Linked DNA regions of Arabidopsis thaliana. The protein of the gene in region 3 interacts with the protein of the main gene of each other region in a biochemical or structural test. Each region holds a gene or a part of one and is shown on either strand. Other genes may lie near its edges. The genes, in order: BEE1, BEE2, LOB and AT2G42300.

Region 1 (5,013 bases), on a different chromosome or scaffold from region 3:
GTTTTTTTTACTGTTTTCGACATTTTAGGTTGCGGATTTTGGACTCTCTAGACTGTTTCCTATGGATAAAACGCACGTATCTACCGCTCCACAAGGAACTCCGGGATATGTCGACCCGGATTACCACTTATGCTATCAACTCTCAAACAAAAGCGACGTGTACAGCTTTGCGGTAGTGTTAATGGAGCTTATCTCTTCACTTCCAGCAGTCGACATCACAAGACCGCGCCAAGAGATCAACCTCTCGAACATGGCAGTCGTTAAAATCCAGAACCACGAGCTCCGCGACATGGTGGATCCGTCACTTGGGTTTGACACGGATACAAGAGTGAGACAGACGGTGATCGCTGTCGCTGAGCTGGCGTTCCAATGCTTGCAGTCGGATAAAGATCTTAGGCCATGTATGTCGCACGTGCAGGATACGTTGACGAGGATACAGAACAATGGATTTGGTTCGGAAATGGATGTTGTAGATGTGAACAAGAGTGGACCGTTGGTTGCACAGTCTCCAGATAGTGTCATTGTGAAATGGGACAGTAAGTAAAATTAGTCGCACGGCCACTAACATTGTATGTGTTTATTATTTGTATGTTTAAAATTGTCAGTTAACAGTTAGAGAATGGTGTTCGTGTTCTGTATTAGATGATATTTTTGGGAATGTATATAATGATGATCTTGTTCCGATTCCACCTAGAGAGGGACCGTAACATACAAAACTTCGTGATTGGGCCTGACCGGACTAAATCAGCAATTTTGTATTGCTATTTGCTGCCAACTGAAACTATTTTTTTATTAGTGGTTAATTTTATTTTTTTACGGAAAAGGTAAAAATATTTGAGACATCAAAATAATGATGGTAATTAAGTAACGCCAGCTCAGCGACGGCGATGACTATCCACCAATTTAACGTCAGAAGAATATATATATGTATATTGAGCTTATCTTCTGTTTCCAATGTAAGTGGAAAGTCCACTGCTGCAATCACAATGTAAGACCTGCATCTATGAAGTTTTAATGAAAGACACTTTCAGAGAAAAAAAAAAAAAACTTCTGTTTCCAAAATTTCCTAATTAAAGCACACCAATTTGGGCATGGATGCTTTACTACTTCTATTAATGAACAAGTTAAAGAGTAAGTTGTCTTGAATGAATGAAATTGCATGTGAATCAAATCCCTCCACCATACATAATAGATAATCTATAGTAATGGCCCAACTAAACATTGACATTTGTTGCAACCTAACTCTTTCCTAAAAGGAAGAAAAAAAAAAAAAAAAAAAAACTCTTTCCTAAAACTCAATGTGTTTGATCATCACAAGGACAAACAAAGGAAATCTCTAGTATGCCGATTAAAGTGAAAATTTGTCTTCACCAATATAAATAATTTGGTAACTTAAACTTTAACTAAAGATTCATAAATTGGCGTCAACTTATGTAAAAGAACCTTCATATATACTTTCGTTTATCTCCCTATATTTTTATACATACACATATTTATAGTATTTTTGTCGATTAATTGGCATTGGCCATTTGGAAGTTATAATTAAGTTGGCAAATGGATGTGATCTCTTACCCTATACACCTACATAAAAAACCCTCCATGCAAAACATTAATGGATGTTTTCATTAAAACAAGTTTTGATATCAACTTAGTTTGACTAGCTACATCCATTTCAATATTTTCTTCCCAATATTAATAATAAATTTAAAGATAGACCACTAGTTCTTAACCTCACACCAAACTGACTAGAAATGTTCTTCCCCCTTGCAAACAGAGAAAGCCTAATGGAACCCACGACCAAACATTGGTCCTACTTTTCCTTGTTTGGACATATCTCCCCGACACACAAATCCCAGAACGTTCACTTGCCCACGTGGCTCTCCCTTTATTTCTCTCTTTTTCTTTCTTAATTTTCTCCACATTTCTTTTTCTAAAATCATAAATTAAATTAATAAAAAAATCCAATCGAACAATATAAAAGTCTCAAGTTTTGTATCAACCAGTCTAAAGAAGTTGTCAGAAAAAAAAAAAAAAAAAAGTGTCAAGAAGATCATATCTCAATTCATTATATTATGGCAAATTTCGAGAATCTTTCTTCTGATTTTCAGACAATAGCCATGGATATATATTCTTCCATAACTCAAGCTGCAGATCTAAACAACAACAACAGTAACCTTCATTTTCAAACATTTCATCCTTCCTCTACTTCTCTCGAATCGCTCTTCCTTCATCATCATCAACAACAATTACTTCACTTTCCCGGAAACTCTCCAGACAGTAGTAACAATTTCTCTTCAACTTCAAGTTTCCTCCATAGTGATCACAACATCGTCGATGAGACCAAGAAGAGAAAAGCTTTGTTACCTACTTTGTCTTCATCAGAGACTAGCGGCGTCTCCGATAATACGAATGTTATTGCCACTGAAACAGTAATTGATCTCGAAACCCTAGCTAATTATCTTATCATTTTCATAACTTATCATTAAAAAGTTCGTTTAAAATAATTACTTTTATTGTCTAAAAAATATCTAGGGTTCTTTGAGAAGAGGTAAGAGGTTGAAGAAGAAGAAGGAAGAAGAAGACGAGAAAGAGAGAGAAGTTGTTCATGTGAGAGCCAGAAGAGGCCAAGCCACTGATAGCCACAGCTTAGCAGAACGGGTAAAATTGCTTAAATTGTCTATATAAATTCATTTTTTTTATAAACGTGGTGTATTCATTTAAATTTATATACATGTCTACACTCTATATCAAAATTTCAGGTTCGGCGAGGGAAAATAAACGAGAGATTAAGATGCTTGCAAGATATGGTGCCCGGATGTTATAAGGTAATAATGCAAAGATAAATATAATAGTTTAACATTTTCAACTTTTCATTACTTCTTTTTTAATATATTTGTAATCAAAATAGAAACTAATGGCCATTAAACAATAAATAGCATATGAAAAGGTCATCATCGGCATTAATTGTCACTAATTATACTTGAATCAAATTTAAGCATTTTATGATAAAAGTGATACTTTTAGTTAAACAAGAACATATGTATCCAAAAGTATTTTTAACATGCATGAGTGTGATTTTAGCTTTTTTCTTTGATACCGCTCATAATATTTTCCGAAAATTGTTCTTCGGATTTTTTTTTGTTTTTTTTGTTTACAAAGAACTCAGAAAAAAAATTGTAGAAAAAGTGATGTGATTTTCTATTGATTTAGTGGTGCTTACTTCTTATAATGAAAGTGTATGTTTGGTGGGTGCAGGCTATGGGAATGGCTACGATGCTTGACGAGATAATTAATTATGTCCAGTCTCTACAGAATCAAGTCGAGGTAAATAATTTAAGTTGTAATCATAAACTACATATATCAATAAGACTTTGTCTTCTTGTATTTTGGAGAAAGAAAAAAAAAACTAGAAAATGGAGGTTTCATGAGATGGGAGGTTCGGTAAATACCTACTTTAGTAGTACTTTCCGAAACACGGCAAATCTTAGATATTCGAAAATTACAAAAAAAAAACGAAAATCTTACCACACACTTTAAAAAACTTCCAAAACACAAGCTTTAATTTTATAAATTACTCAATTTTGTTTCATGTTTTTTGTGGATTTCAGTTCCTCTCGATGAAACTCACTGCAGCAAGTTCGTTTTATGACTTTAACTCAGAGACAGATGCAGTTGATTCCATGCAGGTACTAGAACATTCTAATAATGTTTTTCAATTCTTAAGATAAGCATATATATAATTAATTAGTGGTAGTCTGGTAGAGATGTTGTAATGGGTCCGGTATGTTTTGATCGAGTCGGTTCTACAAAGATTTATTCAAAAATACAAGTGTTTGTAGTTTAGATTCAATCTTATTAGACTATAATATATGATCACGCGGACTATATGACCCGCAATTAAAATATGTTCGACAGGTCAAATCCAGCCTTTGCATAATTGATCTTGTATGGTTTATTGGTTTAAGTAGTCTCTTTTTTTTTGGCATTATATTTGCATGGTTTAAGTCTAACTAGTTGTTGTTATGACAATTACTTTATTTTAACGTGATAAAGTATTTCTATTAGTATTGAATAATATGAATGGAATACAATTGGCAGAGAGCAAAGGCACGTGAGACAGTGGAGATGGGGAGACAAACAAGAGATGGGAGTCCTGTCTTCCATTTATCAACATGGTCCCTTTGACTTTTGTTTTCTCTTTTCTCTTTTCCTTCTTTTTTATTGTTTTCGAAATTATTCTTCTATTTATTTGGATGCGATATGTCATATATACGACCCAACTTGGGATAATATTTGTAATCTGTATACTTGTAATTTCGACGATATAAATTTATTGGTGACTTATAATTGTCATGTAAATATCTCAGTTGTCCTCTCCCTTTTCGCTTTGCTATTTCGTTTGCTTGGCACCTTTTTCCTTTTCCTCTTATGTAATTGTCCTCTTAAGTTATGAAATGATCAGAAATAAAATTCAACAGAATTTTTTTATTTTGTTTCTGCAAATGAAGTTATAAATCATGGATGAATTAGCTCATATGTCAAAGTGTTGATGAGTGAATTGACGATGATGGGAAGAGAGAAATCAATTGTAAATTGTATATATTACCAAATCTTCAATGAAATGTGATTAGTCTTTATAACAAAAAGAAATGAGCGTTACCAGTCGGTTTAAATATTGATTTTAGTTTATTAATTTTAGGGTCGAGAGTTCTTAGTCTGATTACAGACATGCATGTGCTTTTGATGTCTAGAGTTCCACTTCACTTTCCTACGTAAAGTGGGTTAAAAACGGCTTCGGCTATAGAATTACTAAAAATGAAGATTAGTTTATAATATAAAACGATATGTTCTTGTTAAGGGATTATATTTCCATTCATATGTAATTTGCTTTTGGTTACTAAAAACATTTTCCTTTTTCAGCGAGAAAGGCATAGTTACATATACGATAAACTGGAAGAGGCAAGTTGCGCAAGGTTTGGTAACGAAGAGGAGTTATGGAACCAAAGAGACTTT
Region 2 (3,909 bases), on a different chromosome or scaffold from region 3:
CAGACAAGTCGAATCCGCTCGACGAAGCAGAGTGTTTCTGAAAGTTGCGGTTTTTATGGTTTAACGATTAGGCCGGTAATTTCGACTTAGCTAAACCGGCCGGTTCAGCCGTATTTGTCCCAAAGATCCTGATTTTTTACTCATCATTTTGACAAAAGCTGTCAAGTTGATATTATCAAACAGAACTATTGATTTGTACACAACAAGATATTGAAGCACTCTTTCTTAAATTTCATGTTCTCTAACTCTCTTCCTCAGATCTTGTCTCACTGTTGCATAGGTGTGACATTCTTTTGAAGTAAACAGAAATAATTGACGTGGAATGTGATTCCTGTTATCACATAGATCCATCATTAGTGAAAAGAGCAAACAACACAGTTTTGTAAGTAAGCAAATTAGAGACGTGATACACACGATCTAGGGCCTTATACTTTGATGTGACGAATACGAGTGTTCCTTCCGTTTTCGTGATTCGACAAAATGCCTAATTGCAACATGAATGCATTGACACAAACTTCTTTACAAAAGAATACATCCTGAAACCCATTGAATCAAAAACTTTCTAAAACTTTTTTGTGGAAATTGCAAAAAACAACAGATACTCTCAACGTTAAGTATTTTGGCATTTGAAGCATTTACTCTTCTCATCTCATAAGCAGCTTGTTATTGATGTTTCCCAAAGAACCAATGAAATGGAAACCTCAAAGCAACCTGTACGGTGTGTTATTGAAATCGGTCTAATTTTGGATATATTTTTTCAAGTTCTTCAAAAAAAAAAAATCGAAATAGTATTGATTCTCTTGAATTATGTCACGCATTATAGATAATGTATAGATATATAATTAATAGGGAAAAAAAGAAAGTATAGGGACCAAACACTTAGATCAAAAGCAATGGTGTCGCCTACCTTCCTATCACTTATCTTCAAACCCATTTTCTTCTTTAGGTCGCTTATTTTGTGTCCCTATCAGTTATGAATTATAATATGTGATATTATAATATGTCATATATTCATCGAGTTGCCATCTCTCTAATATATGAAATCCACTTAAATTATTGGTGTAATCTATGGATTGATGAAGGGTAGTAATCATACGTCACAAGGATCACGTATAGATTCACAACAAGACATTGAAATGATATCACTCATGATTCAAACCATTGTTTCTATTCATTTGCAAGTTAAGATTCATAATTCACATTCCCCACATTCTCCACCTTCAAGCCTAAGAAAGACCCTCTCTCTCTCTCTCTCTAACAAAACAAATTGGTACAATTAGAAGGTTGTCTTACCAAAAACTCAATGATTTGATTTTACAAAAGAGGATATTTATATGATAATACCCTCATGAACCTTAAGTTTTACAAAGTTTGATTATTGTTGCCAAACAAAAAGATCCTCTCAAAAACTTGAAAGGCCAAAAGGAAAAAAAAAAACACAGAGAAAAGACACAAAAGAGACTAACTTAAGAGACTCCTCATCTCATGTTCATAAGGACATGACCACATGGTAGGTTATGTCAATTAGACCCCACAACTTCTCATCTCACCTTCTTTGTCCCCAACCTCCTCCACTTTTATCAATTTTGTCCCTCTCTCACTAGATTTCGAATCTCATGTGTGTGGGTCAATGTTGCTTTCTATTTAAAGCTAAGAATAATTATATCTAATGGATTACTTTTCTTCCACACATATATAACTTAACTCTCTCTTTTTCTCTTTTGCTTTAACCCCCTCAAAGAAAAGATAAGAGCCTTTTAAAGTTTTTTTTTTACCTTCTCTTCATGGACTTGTCTGTACTTGATAGGCTTAAGTGGCTGCAACAGCAACAAATGGTTTCACCTGAGTTTCTTCAGATACTTGGCTCAGATGGGAGAGAAGAGCTCAAAAGAGTTGAGAGTTACTTGGGAAACAACAATGATGAGCTGCAGAGTTTCAGACATTTTCCCGAATTCGGACCGGATTATGATACTACTGATGGCTGCATTTCTAGGACAAGTAGCTTCCATATGGAGCCAGTGAAGAATAATGGACACAGCAGAGCCATTACCTTGCAGAACAAGAGAAAACCAGAGGTTTGTAGCTCAAGAAAGTATTGAGTATTAGAGTTTAGATTTTGTTTGAAACATTGTTTCTGATCGTTTTAACTATTGGTTTTAGGGTAAGACAGAAAAGAGAGAGAAGAAGAAGATCAAAGCAGAGGATGAAACAGAGCCAAGCATGAAAGGGAAATCAAACATGAGTAACACAGAGACATCTTCAGAAATTCAGAAACCAGATTACATTCATGTTAGGGCTAGACGAGGTGAAGCCACCGACAGACATAGCTTAGCAGAGAGGGTAATTAACTAAAGTGTTGTTGTTAAATAGGTTTCAGAGAAATTACTTTCATTAGAGATTTGAGTGGTTTTATATTTGTGGGATTTTGGCAGGCAAGAAGAGAAAAGATAAGCAAGAAGATGAAATGTCTACAAGATATTGTTCCTGGATGCAACAAAGTTACTGGAAAAGCTGGTATGCTTGATGAGATCATCAACTATGTCCAATCTCTGCAACAACAAGTCGAGTTCTTGTCGATGAAACTCTCTGTCATAAATCCAGAACTTGAGTGTCATATCGATGATTTATCCGCAAAACAGGTGAATAATAGTCAGTTTTCATCCCAAGAACTAACCAAGAGTTTAATTACCGCATTTATTGACTGGTTAAATATTGGAATCTAGTTTCAGGCTTACTTCACAGGTCCTCCAGAAGGTGACTCGAAGCAGTCAATCATGGCGGATTTTCGGTCTTTTCCATTACATCAGCAAGGATCTTTAGATTACTCAGTCATAAACTCAGACCACACCACATCTCTCGGCGCTGTAATAATCTTTATCTCAGACAAATCTTTCATTAGTCCCAATTTTTTGTTACTTGTCCGTGAAGTAACTTATTTCTTATTCTGTTTTGCAGAAAGATCATACATCATCAAGCTGGGAAACTCACTCACAGTGTCTTTACAACAGCTTGAGAACCGATTCTGTTTCCAATTTCTTCAGCCTCAAGTAAAAAAATTAGGGATAGCCTCATTAAAAAAATCGCGGTTTTTTGTTGTTGTCTTATCCATTTATCTATCTTATCTGAAATTTGAACCAAAAGAGACAGAGGAAACCAATCCAAAGATCTTTCTCAATCTATTATCTTCATACAAATATAGTGATTTACATATATTCCAGGGGATATGTATATGTGTAGAAGAAAGAGAAAAAACTCTTGTGGTCATAGCAATTCCTTTTTTTGTACATTGTAGAATCAAACTCTTGTGGTCGTAACAATTATTTCCTTCACAAATTACAACTACACTTGTATTAATGGAGATGCCTTTTGGCCTGGTATCAACATATACAAACCTAAGCCAACAAACAGAGAGCCAAAAAAAAAATCAAAAAAATTTCTCAAAAATTAAGTTAAATCCAGCCTAATAATGTATCTTATGCTTCTTTCTATTTTTTCTTCTTCTTGAGACTGGAGAAATTGAATCCAAAAAGACCAGATTTCTTGGGAGATGGTGTTATTTTAACAGGTTCCGGATGAGTAACTGGAGTAACAACCTGTGAAGTAGGCGAAGCAGTTGTTCTTCCTTCTGGTCTGGAGGAAACTTCTTCTTCTTCTTCTTTGTCGGAATCTACTTCTACAAGAGCTCTAAGTAATTCTGATGCACTCACCTTTACTTCCTCTGTTCCATTGTTGGATATCAAGATTAGAGATGAGTAAATATCAGTTGCTTCTCTCACGACAAGACAGCAATACTCTATCTTCTGCACACAGAGCTGAAGGAGGATGGAGATTGCGTTCTCTTGCTCCTCGGGAACATTTGACTCGAGTAATTCAGCTATGGAAGCTAAACAATCCGGGGTTTCGGTGATA
Region 3 (4,541 bases):
TAATAATAAAGCAGAGACCTTCAATTATTAGCACCCTTAAGTTCTCTGAAACATGCATCCACGCAAACTACAATCCTAGTTTAGGTATTGAACCCAAGGCAATAACAATCATCACCATATTATATATCTAATCATAGGTATTTTTAAAATAATAAAATTCACCAATGCCACTATAGAAACATACCTTTTTCCGTTTCGTAATTAAATGAATATATCTTGCTTACCACAGAATACCATTTTATATTTCAACGTATATTGTAAATAAGATTTTAAATATTTAATGATATAGCATTAAATAAATAAATAAAATTTATACTAAAACTGATATTTTTGTTATTGATATTCATTCTAATTATTGAAATCATTAAAAATAACTAAAAATGAAACGGATAAAACTATATCATGTTTGGCACCTAACATTACAAAAACAATCAAGAAAATAATTATCTAGTAAAATATATTTGTTCAAGTATCATAGCTTAGTTATTGAAAAACATACACTAATAATAATCAAAAACCAAAATATATATACCTCATCAATCATCATAAATAAATAAGAACAGTCCATGCATTTATAATTCGCTAGGAAATAATATCCCACACACAGTCCATGCATTAAACAAATAATATCGTATTCGTACCACACACACATAAATATAGAAAGAGAGAGATGAGAGGATGAATACTCATAATTTATAAACTCTCACATGTTACCTCCTTGCTGATCATGACCATTGTTCCAAGGAAGAAAAGTCCCATACGACCCTCCGGTGCCACGTGGCATCTGATTCATCACCGGACTTGCCCCCGAAAGCCTATAAACCGGGTTCAAGGGAGGCAGTTGCTGCGACGGAAGCGGCTGAGGCTGAAAAACCAAGTCCACGACGTTGCCAGGTGCTCCGGCGGCTGATGTGGACAAACCATAATGTGCCAAGTCAGCATTAGCTGCGTCGAGCTCCTTCTGAAGCCTATGGACTTGTCTCTGGAGATAAGAGATGGCTCCGACGCAGCCATAGACGGGGTCACGGACACGTGCCTCGGCCTCATAGGCTAAGGAGTTGACTGCGTCTTCACGTTGGTGAGGGAGGAGCTCGTTGAGGAGCTTCGTGACGTTGCTTGCTCCAAAGATTTTGTGGACGTTGGCGAATTTGTGTGGCTCCTCCGGTGGAAAATATGGCGCGAATATGCATCCCGGCATGCATTTCCGGCGAAGAAACTTGCACGCCGCGCATGGTGAGTTGTATGAGTTTGATGACGACGCCATTTGTTTTTCTTCTTACAACCTAATATTGTGTTTTAAGAACAAAATACAATTAGAAAGAAAAGTTAAACACACACATATATAGTATGTTTATACATACGATCTACATATATATAATTTAAATTTGCCAGTAAATGATAAAACTCCTACGTTTCGTTTAGAAGTCATTTTTCTATAATTTCTATATTGCAACTTTTTCAAATTTTATATTGAATTTTTTTATTTCCTTCTTTCATTGAATTCCTAATTATCTTTCCATTGATTTTCCCTTTCCACGTTTTTCTTGATGTATATGTAAAATGTCCACCATCAAATCTAATGAAAGGAAAAACATACTATTTACAAAACCTAAATGTCTTTAGATTGAATATTAATTGAACACGTTAGGAACACAGAGATAATCCGGACGTGCTGGAACTATAACTTTAGTTTCACATAACGTTTTTTTTTTCAATTAATTTAGTCTACACTAGTTTTCAAGTAGACAAATATCACTTCACATATTTAATCCCCTATTACCTTCTTAATTTATCTCTACGAATATATTTAACTAACTTCTCCGAATCTTCCTTAACAGAGTATACACATACCCACACTCGCCTTTAATTCTAGCTAATATATGATGTCATACATGTCGATCAGTTATTCCCTGAACAAAACAAAACCAAAAAAAAAAAGCAATCTTATTTTTAAAATGTCAGATGAGTTTGTGTATCCCTCTGTATCTATATCAATCTTACATATAAATACTACATATTTTTGTTCAATGCATATCTACTTCATATTTTACCAAAATATATCAAACAGTTTTTCTTTGTAATTCAATTGTGTCCTGATGTGTTTTACCATCTTCTTCATCTTCCTCTCACTCTCTCTTCAACCCTAGCTTTGTTAAAAGAAACTATAACTTAAAAGGGAAACTCAGTGAGGATTTTATAATTTCTATTTGTATGCCTCAAAACTAAACTTGGTCAAAGAAATTTCAAAAATTGTCTTTACTAAGTAAGATAAACTCTCTCTTTTTCTCCGAGATGAAGCAATTCTACTGACCTCAAGTCTATACCAATTTGGATTTGTTTGTAAACTTTAGATCTGACCTTAATTATGTCAACTCAAAGAGATCACGAAGGTTTAATTACACGTGTTTACTTATATCCTTGTCTCATTTGCTATAATTAATTAGATAACCTTGTTAAGTCTTTATTATAGTAGAAATTCAAAAGGAAAGTGACAGAAGGATCAAAGTGAATATGTGTATGAGCAACATAGAACATAGAACATGGAGCATAGAAAATAAAATTAAACATAGATTAGAAGACTTGTTTTGATAATCGGGAGCTATGCATAAATCCAGGGATTTATTAAGATACATACATCAAAGTATATACATATACCTGCCTTTAGATCTTTAGGTTCTTTGAGGATCTTGTATCTTTCTTCCTCTTTCAAGGGCTTTTACCTTACCCTTTGAATTTCGCTTCCAAAGTAGATAGAGTAGGCTTAACTCTTTAGTCAATGAGAGGGATATATTAGGGTTTTAGCCCTCTCAAAGAAAGAGGAAACCCTAATGTCAAGAAGAATTGAGAAAGGTTTGTATAGAAGCTGAGAATTTAAAGAAACCAAACAAACAAATAAAAAGGAAAAAATAGAGAAATGTTTTAGTGGAGAGGAAGGAGAAAGAGCAAAAGACAAAGTGTAATAATAACAAATGAACAATTAATAAACAGGAAGAGGAGGAGAGGGTATGTCCCTTAAAGAATGACTATGACATTTCATCTCAAGAATATTAGTAATATCATTTCACTGTGCTTACTTTTGTCTCCCATTAGATTATTTTTTAAAACCTTAGCTTTTGTGAATTTTTCTTCATACATTTAATGTTAACAATATTCCCTAACAGTCCCGAAATCAACCCTAAGCTAACTAATCAATTATCATTGTGTGTATATAAATATCACTATATATGATCTCTCTATATATACCTGTCTCACGCTGATGGCCAAAATTTGGAACCTCAAGAAAACCCTAAGCATCTCTCTATATCAATCTCGACTTTAATTGAATATCATAACAAACCCTGATTTGCAATGAGAACTAAAGAACATATTATATGACTGTTTTTGGCAGAACAAACTATACAATTAATATATAGCGGTATAAATTTGGTGACTGGTAACTTGTTCTCTTGTTCATACCGTTGTGAAAAAAGCTTGACATCCTAAAATTAACAGCAATGAATTGAACCTTTTTTTCAGGTGTGGCAAAATAATTCTTCAATTTAATTTAATCGAACAACAGTTAATAGGAACAAGAATAAACTCTTGAGACCTCAAAGTAGCTACGTAGAGACAGGAAATCAGTAAAAGTCAAGCGATTTCATGTGAACGATCAAGTCAAGTTTAAATAGGTTTTGTAAAATCAGAACTTTTGTAATGGAAAATAAACTATGAGGGGGTCCGAAGATTTTTGAAGCTATAGCTAGCTAGGGTTAGTATCATACAACAGTTACTTGTGTTAGATTATATATTATTGGAAGTGACAACCGATTGAGACATTTTTCATAATGTCTTCTTCTTTTTATTTCGCACCAATTCTTGGTCTAATGTAGAATTCAAATGGTTCAATATTGAAGATATATTAGACTGGCAAAATTCAAATGCAAATGTAGATCATAAATAGTTACCTAATGGAAAAGTAAATGAGATAATTTTCTTATTACTATCAGAAAATTGTGGTAAATTAACCTTTTGAATATTTTCAAGATCATTATTTGTTGGTCTAAGTTATGATGGTGGTTAGTGGTGGGAACTTAGTAATTTACTAAAGTGAAGCATCTATAGGCTTTATCACCAAACTAATGTCTTCATATTTTTCTTAAGATATTAATTTTGTGACTAATATATATCGGGATTAGGGTTCGAAAATAGAGGTCCTATTCTTTTCTAAAAGAGGAAACTAGTCTCGTACTTGGAAAGTAGAGCTTCTCTCTCGTTATGATACAAAAATTGACTGATTATTCAAAGTTTTCAATGTTATTGATTGCGCATTCTGATATGATAGATAATAAGTAACTATATCGAATAAGTTGAAAGTTGTTTGGAGAGCTATGATATGGTTTATTCGTTCCGTCCGACGTTGTAAATTCAACACTAAGCCTACATATTACAGAAGAAACCATAACAAAGTTTACCATCAAAAGATTAAAGTAATCGATTAGAATGGGTATTGATCTATATATATAGCCCTTCAATATATATAGAGAGGTTGCATATAAAATGAT
Region 4 (6,421 bases), on a different chromosome or scaffold from region 3:
ATAAAGTAACCCTTAGGTCGCTCCTCGTGACCTGGCGTCGCCCACCGACTCGGACCGGCGGATGTAGATCCAGACCTAGAGAAGATCCGATTTCGTAGCGTCTTCGCTGCGACGGTCAAGGACTGCGTCGACGGCATCGCGTTGGTTCAGATATTTCCGCTGTAAGCAAAAAGGAAATGCTCAGATTTGTCAAGTGTCCAACTATATACGACCACGACCTACAAAAGGTTTCATTCGAACCGAACCGAGAATTTCAATTTTGGTTTATTGAAATTGTCAGTTTAATTGGGAATTATATAATGGTTTCAGCTTAGATTATCCGGTCTAACAGATTTATATACGAAATTGACTCTCTTTTATGTTCGGTATGACTTGGTATTCTCAGTTCTCATTTTGTTTTACGGTTTGACTGGAAATTTTGTAGTCCAAATCGGTTCTGGCAGTTTGGTTATAATTTAGGTAGACCAAATTGAATTGGTCACACTAGTCGGTTAAGCAGTATTGGATGATAGTATTCGTGTACGACGTCGTAATTGCTCAGTAACATATCAAATCTTCATATACTTCTCTCAAGGGAAACGCAATTTAGACATTCTGAATTCTACATTGAGGAATCTAGTAAATATAGAAAGGCCATGAACAAAGACCTGAAACAATCATAACCATTTTCTACCTCTAATTCAACAATCGAAACTTTAGTAGATATATATAACTCTTATATATACACATAAGCATGTCAAACTGTTTCCAACTTAGAGCTCCATTTTCACCTGATTTGGGTGTAAAGTAGCTGAACCCATTGAGAAATTGGCTTGATGATGATCTTCTTCTCTTCCCCATTCCGGCTGGTGGTAGCCGTCGAAAGGCCATTGTTGCAGCTGATGATAAGACTCTGCATTGAAGCTACCATCCATAAGAGAGCCGTTCTGCAGAAAAGATAATTGGACCTCATCATTATTAACACAATTTGTAAAACATATCAGCTTCTCTTAGAGATGATTGATCCAACATCCTAGATTCTCAATCTAGTCAACAAGCCAGCTCTATTTTACTGTAACTCATCCTAGAAGAACAAGGTTTTTAATGAGTGGGGTCTGGTTCTTAAATGGTGTACAAGCTGTAAAAGAAGAAGGTCATTTAATAAGAAAGTTATTTGCAGAGAAACAAAAGTTGATTATTAGATTAGATAGGTGAAACTTGAAGCAACAATAACTTAAGACTGAGACCCACAGAAAAATAATTGTGCAAGGATAAAAAAAAAAGACAGCATCATAGACCATAGAACAAAGGTGGTCCGTGTTTCTGACCACTTTTATCTCTCTGTATGATATAATTGAGAGAACTAATGAGTCCTTTCAAAAGATTTTTTAGAGTCCTTGATCTCACTGTTTGTACTGCATTTTTGTAAGGTCTAAGTATTTATTTCCCCCACGTTGTTCTTCTTCTTTAAGCCTAGTCTAGAATAGGGTCGATTAATGTTGGATCAATAAATATCCAAAAGTTTCTCTTTTTGTGATACAACTTAAAAAGGTTACTCAAAGAAACATAATCCCTATGGTTACTTAAACGAGTAACATGGTCAAAGGGAAGTTTTTCCCAGTGAACATTGAATTTAAGAGTTTTTATTGTAAAAGAAGATCACATGCAACCTTAATTCTCCTATATGATTAGTTGATACTTACCTCTGAAGCCAGTATGCTGTCTAGATTGAAGTCGATTCTGGGGTTTACTGCAGCAAGTCTCATAGATAGCATCTGAAAAGAAGAAAAACGGTTATGTGACACTGTGGCACCAATTTTATCATACATTGTGTAGCTTAGTGTTTCAGTTCAGGACCTTCAGGTAAACAACAACAAAAGATAGTGCAAGAAGTCCTACCTCCACTTGACGCTGTAAAGTTTGCACATGGTTAATGATTTCATCCAGAACCAATGCAGTGCCCTGAATCTGCAGGCCAAAGCTTTCTGGTCAGTCAGAAAGAAAGAAGAACAAGGCATAGTTTTTAGAAATATATGTGGTTAACGAAGCAGTGTGAAAATGAGCCTTAATCCTAAGTTGCATATGTATAACGGCTTCTATAAAATCAACAACTCTACTCTTTTCAAGATAATATGCCAGAAAAGCGAATCAGAGCAACATCTGTAGTTTACAAACATGGATTCAGGATTTCTCAGGATTTCATGAAACAAACAATCAAGTCCCAAAACCCCACAAATTTGACAAACTCTTAAAGAGTTGTCACTTATCATCATCTCCTTCCACCAATAATTGCAGCTAAATTCCAAGATATCTATGGATTAGTTAGCTGTCTGCAGGAGTGTCACATCATGTATCCAACCAATTAGGTATTGTGGGACTCAAAGCATATAACAATATTAGTGACGATACTACACTCCTCACCCTCTTTCTACTTGATAGATACCAAACTTATTAGAGACGATACTACACTCCTCACCCTCCATAGAAAGCCTGCAACTTTTGCCACTTATTATCAAAAGATGGACCCCAAAACACAGTCTGACCTTGATCTATCCACCAAAATCTGTCCCCTCTACCCAAAACCTTAAGGGAACAGTCCAGCTAGCATTCCCACATCATATAATCCATTATCGGCATTTATGGAGTAAGCTTCAAGCTCAAATGAATACACTTTGGGAAGAAGAAACAAGAATCTATTGAGCAATGTCACATCACTTCCGTATTACTACTACTAGTTTACCTAAATGGTTGTGACCCGTGAGATATTCTTCCCCACACGAAAATAAAGTTTACATATCTTCAAGGCAGTGAAATTACCAAACTAGTGGTTTTGTTCTTTGTCACACCACAAAACCTTTTTCATATAAGAGGAATTTAGCACTAAACCCTTATCAAACCACATGATCAAATTATAGAAAAAAAATCACTTTTTGGGGGTTGGTCTTAATAAAGAAAGATTCTGTCTTTAAGCACAAATGAAGATCTAATTATTGATTAGCTTTTTGATTAAAAGGTCAATTATCTAAAGACAAACCTTATCACAGCCTGGGACCAGTTCCTGTAGCAGCTTCATTCGTGCGTTTATCTTCTCCCTTCTTGCCTATAATCAAGAGTTAATGATTAATTAGCATATTGCCACTAATTAATTAATACAAACCATGTCTGTGAGATTGTGAATTACTCTCTCTGCTAAGCTATGGTTATCAGTAGCTTGACCACGACGAGCTCTGACATGAACATATGGCAACTTGTCTGACTCCACGGAGCTCTTGTTCTTCTTCGTCGAGCTTTTGACCTAGAAATTAAGGAATAAAGAAATTAGGGACTAATCTCTCTTGTTTAATTAACAAGTTTGATTGTGTGAACAATTGGTATCACCTTCTTCTCGCGTTCTTTCCTTTTTCCAGAAGAGTAGCTCTGGTTCTGATTCTCCACCATTGAATCGGTCTCAGCAGGCTCGGCTTTGACTCTGTCCAGATTCGCGCCGGGATTAGAAGGTAAAGAGTTAGCAGTCTCGCCGGAAAAATTACCGTTTTGCTCTGTAGCAATCACCGAGAAACGAGCGGCGCGGTCCAAGAGAAGCGAGTTAGAAGGAAAAGTCAAAGCCCCGAAAGGGTGAAGAGTGGTAGGAGAAATATCACCACTGGTAACGGTTCTGGCCTGAGAAGACGATGAATCTGGGAAATGGAGAAGCTCCATGGCCTGAGTCACAGGCATCTCGAGTAAAGCCGTGAAGGAGCCGCCAGTAGTCTCCGGAGGCATCGTCGTCACTAAGTGCCGAAATTCGTCGCTGAAATTGAGAGATTCTAGTCCGGCCACCGGCCCAACAACGCCGGATCTAGCTCTGAAACCTTGGGTCAGATCCATTAGCCGGGAAAATCACACTTAAACCGGAATAAACCGAGTTGAATGAAATTCAGTGATAACCAGAACCGACCGACTTGATCAACTCGTTCCTTTTAGAGCTTTTAAAATCGAGAGAGAAAAAAAGGAATTTAATTTTTGTCAGTTGGGGAGTATTTTGACAGTTAACGCGAAGGAGGTTGCATCAATGGCGGTATTAAAGAGAGTAGCGAATGAAATATTTCTCTCTCTGTCCCTCTCTGTGAGTTTCTCAGAGCTTGCTCAAGAAAAGAAAAAGTCTTCTTCTTCGTTAAGAGTTTATTATATCTGTGTGTGTTCTGAGAGCACAAGAGCCATTTGGAGTGGGAAGAAAGCAACGTTAGCTTTGGAGTGCGTCTGTTAATAAAGCCAAATTTTTAGAGAAAGGAAATATCCAATTTATGGGGTTTGGAGAGACGATGATAGAGAGACGCTTTTGAATTGGGCCTATTGGGCTTTATTCGGTAGTATTTTTAATCCCTGTGTAATGGGTCACTTGTTTTTTTCTGGTTTAGTGGTTACTAATCACTATAGTTGGAGCCATAAATAAGGTCATTTCACTATGATTCATTCTTTTTTTTTCCTTTCCTTTTTAATTTTTATAGACTCTGGTGAGTAAATTTTCAAATTTTGACTGGTCGTTGTTCACCCTCTTATTTTATTTTATTTTGTTCAAGGTCGTTATTGTTCAGCCTCTAAAATTACTCTTTTTATAAAAAATAAGCTTGAGATGAATCAGAGTGCCACACTCGAATAAATGAAAACGACAAGACTTTCCGTCCCCACCAATTATTTAAGTTACATGGATCTAAAAATTCGGCCGTTTTTAGTGATTTATTGGGCCACATGGACCGTTGATTGAGATTGCCAAAATTGGCCCATCTCACTCACTGCATTGGAGTTCTAGTGTTTGTACCAAAAACGGTAAGATGTTTGCGTACATTGACCGCAATTTGTAGCCCTCCCAGTTCTTGCACGACAAGGTTTTGTAGGATTTTAAGGTACTACTATTTCCTCTTGAAAGTTCTTTAACTGAAAAAAGTAATTGTTAACAAAAGTCGGATGTGATGATATGATGCATATATTTATTTGATGTTGTGAATAAGTTGAATTTGGGCCGTGACAAAGTGCTAACCCAACAACAATGGGACTTGTGACTCTTCGTGTATATTTCGGAATTGCCCATTAAGACTAGGAGTAGAGGAGCCAAAAGTGGCATATTTTCAAATGCATCTTTGTGTGGTTACTTTGTCGGTTGGTTAATGATTTTTCTCTGACACAATCCACTCTCTACCGTCTCTTCCCTCCTTTAATTTGAATAAATATGACATCCTCTATCCAATTCAAATTCATATGCAATAGGTCGAGTTCGATTATTTTCAATTATTCTTAAACATATTTTAATCCTTTTTTTAGTTACTGCTGAATCTTGTAAAAGTAAAACAATTATCGACCCAGTGGGACTGTACAGTTTTTTCATGGCTCAAGAGTGAAGAGGTCCTATACGAGTTAAGATTCTATAGACTATAGCATTTAAGATAACACTTTGTTTATTTTTTGTATCCCAAATTTGTTGTAACTTTTTTTTTTGATACCTATATATAGTTTTAATGCTATAAAAATCCAGTGACCCTAGATATCACCAACGGATACACACAAATTAAAAATGTAACAACAACCCACCTGCATCAATCAATAACTAAACTTCAAAAAGTTTCAAAAATAACCACAAAATGTCAAAAACCCAAAACGCAAATCCCAATATATCACATTTTTAATTAGAACTGTAGTGTATATATTATTAAAATTTCAAACCATAGTATATGGACAAGAATTCAAAAAATTGATCATGACTACATTACACCACGTTGCTAACATGAAACCATAAAAGAATCATACCTCGGTCAAATCTCCCATTATTCTTCTCCTTCGTCTTCACTGTTTACCGTTTTTCCTCTGCAACTTCTCGTTGCCTCACACTATATGAATCATCTGTAATTTGTAGCTTCTTTAACAACCAAAAAGTTTCAAGATTCCTATATCCTAAGCAAAAAATGAAGTTACCATCGATTCTTTCACTTGTTGTTTCTTCCATCTTTCTCTGCATGAGCTTTTGCTCCTCTCTCAATTCCGACGGTTTATCTCTCCTAGCTCTCAAATCCGCCGTCGATAACGACCCGACCCGAGTAATGACCCACTGGTCTGAATCCGACCCGACTCCTTGCCATTGGTCCGGAATCGTCTGCACAAACGGCCGAGTCACAACTCTTGTACTCTTCGGAAAAAGTCTCTCCGGTTACATTCCATCAGAACTCGGTTTACTCAACTCGCTAAACCGGCTTGATCTAGCTCACAACAATTTCTCTAAAACCATACCGGTTCGTCTCTTCGAAGCAACCAAGCTCCGGTACATCGATCTCTCTCACAACTCACTCTCCGGCCCAATACCGGCCCAAATCAAGTCCATGAAGTCACTCAACCACCTTGATTTCTCCTCCAATCATCTCAACGGTTCACTCCCTGAGTCACTCACTGAACTCGGAAGCCTCGTCGGAACCTT

Evidence for each region.
Region 1: the proteins of LOB (region 3) and BEE1 form a complex in vitro, tested with the Arabidopsis thaliana proteins (one study listed by BioGRID).
Region 2: the proteins of LOB (region 3) and BEE2 form a complex in vitro, tested with the Arabidopsis thaliana proteins (one study listed by BioGRID).
Region 4: the proteins of LOB (region 3) and AT2G42300 form a complex in vitro, tested with the Arabidopsis thaliana proteins (one study listed by BioGRID).

What each region holds. Positions count from the first base shown.
Region 1 is NC_003070.9:6,329,392-6,334,404, forward strand, and holds BEE1 (BR enhanced expression 1), read left to right. Parts: upstream 1-2,006; 5' UTR 2,007-2,072; coding exon 2,073-2,429; intron 2,430-2,532; coding exon 2,533-2,658; intron 2,659-2,759; coding exon 2,760-2,825; intron 2,826-3,255; coding exon 3,256-3,324; intron 3,325-3,608; coding exon 3,609-3,686; coding exon of another isoform or gene 3,687-3,728; exon of another isoform or gene 3,729-4,098; coding exon 4,099-4,185; 3' UTR 4,186-4,465; downstream 4,466-5,013. Other genes in the region: AT1G18390 (Serine/Threonine kinase family catalytic domain protein), read left to right, coding at 29-544. UniProt on the Arabidopsis thaliana protein: Positive regulator of brassinosteroid signaling.
Region 2 is NC_003075.7:17,241,915-17,245,823, forward strand, and holds BEE2 (BR enhanced expression 2), read left to right. Parts: upstream 1-1,668; 5' UTR 1,669-1,784; coding exon 1,785-2,075; intron 2,076-2,160; coding exon 2,161-2,340; intron 2,341-2,432; coding exon 2,433-2,639; intron 2,640-2,723; coding exon 2,724-2,864; intron 2,865-2,955; coding exon 2,956-3,051; 3' UTR 3,052-3,382; downstream 3,383-3,909. Other genes in the region: AT4G36550 (ARM repeat superfamily protein), read right to left, coding at 3,486-3,909. UniProt on the Arabidopsis thaliana protein: Positive regulator of brassinosteroid signaling.
Region 3 is NC_003076.8:25,308,020-25,312,560, forward strand, and holds LOB (Lateral organ boundaries (LOB) domain family protein), read right to left. Parts: upstream 3,001-4,541; 5' UTR 2,656-3,000; intron 1,911-2,655; exon of another isoform or gene 1,781-1,910; intron 1,284-1,780; 5' UTR 1,265-1,283; coding exon 704-1,264; 3' UTR 527-703; downstream 1-526. UniProt on the Arabidopsis thaliana protein: Not known; ectopic expression of LOB leads to alterations in the size and shape of leaves and floral organs and causes male and female sterility.
Region 4 is NC_003071.7:17,618,967-17,625,387, reverse strand, and holds AT2G42300 (basic helix-loop-helix (bHLH) DNA-binding superfamily protein), read right to left. Parts: upstream 4,494-6,421; 5' UTR 3,847-4,493; coding exon 3,358-3,846; intron 3,275-3,357; coding exon 3,161-3,274; intron 3,080-3,160; coding exon 3,014-3,079; coding exon of another isoform or gene 3,002-3,013; exon of another isoform or gene 1,948-3,001; coding exon 1,879-1,947; intron 1,755-1,878; coding exon 1,683-1,754; coding exon of another isoform or gene 1,668-1,682; exon of another isoform or gene 927-1,667; coding exon 753-926; 3' UTR 536-752; downstream 1-535. Other genes in the region: AT2G42310 (ESSS subunit of NADH:ubiquinone oxidoreductase (complex I) protein), read right to left, coding at 1-137; AT2G42290 (Leucine-rich repeat protein kinase family protein), read left to right, coding at 5,916-6,421.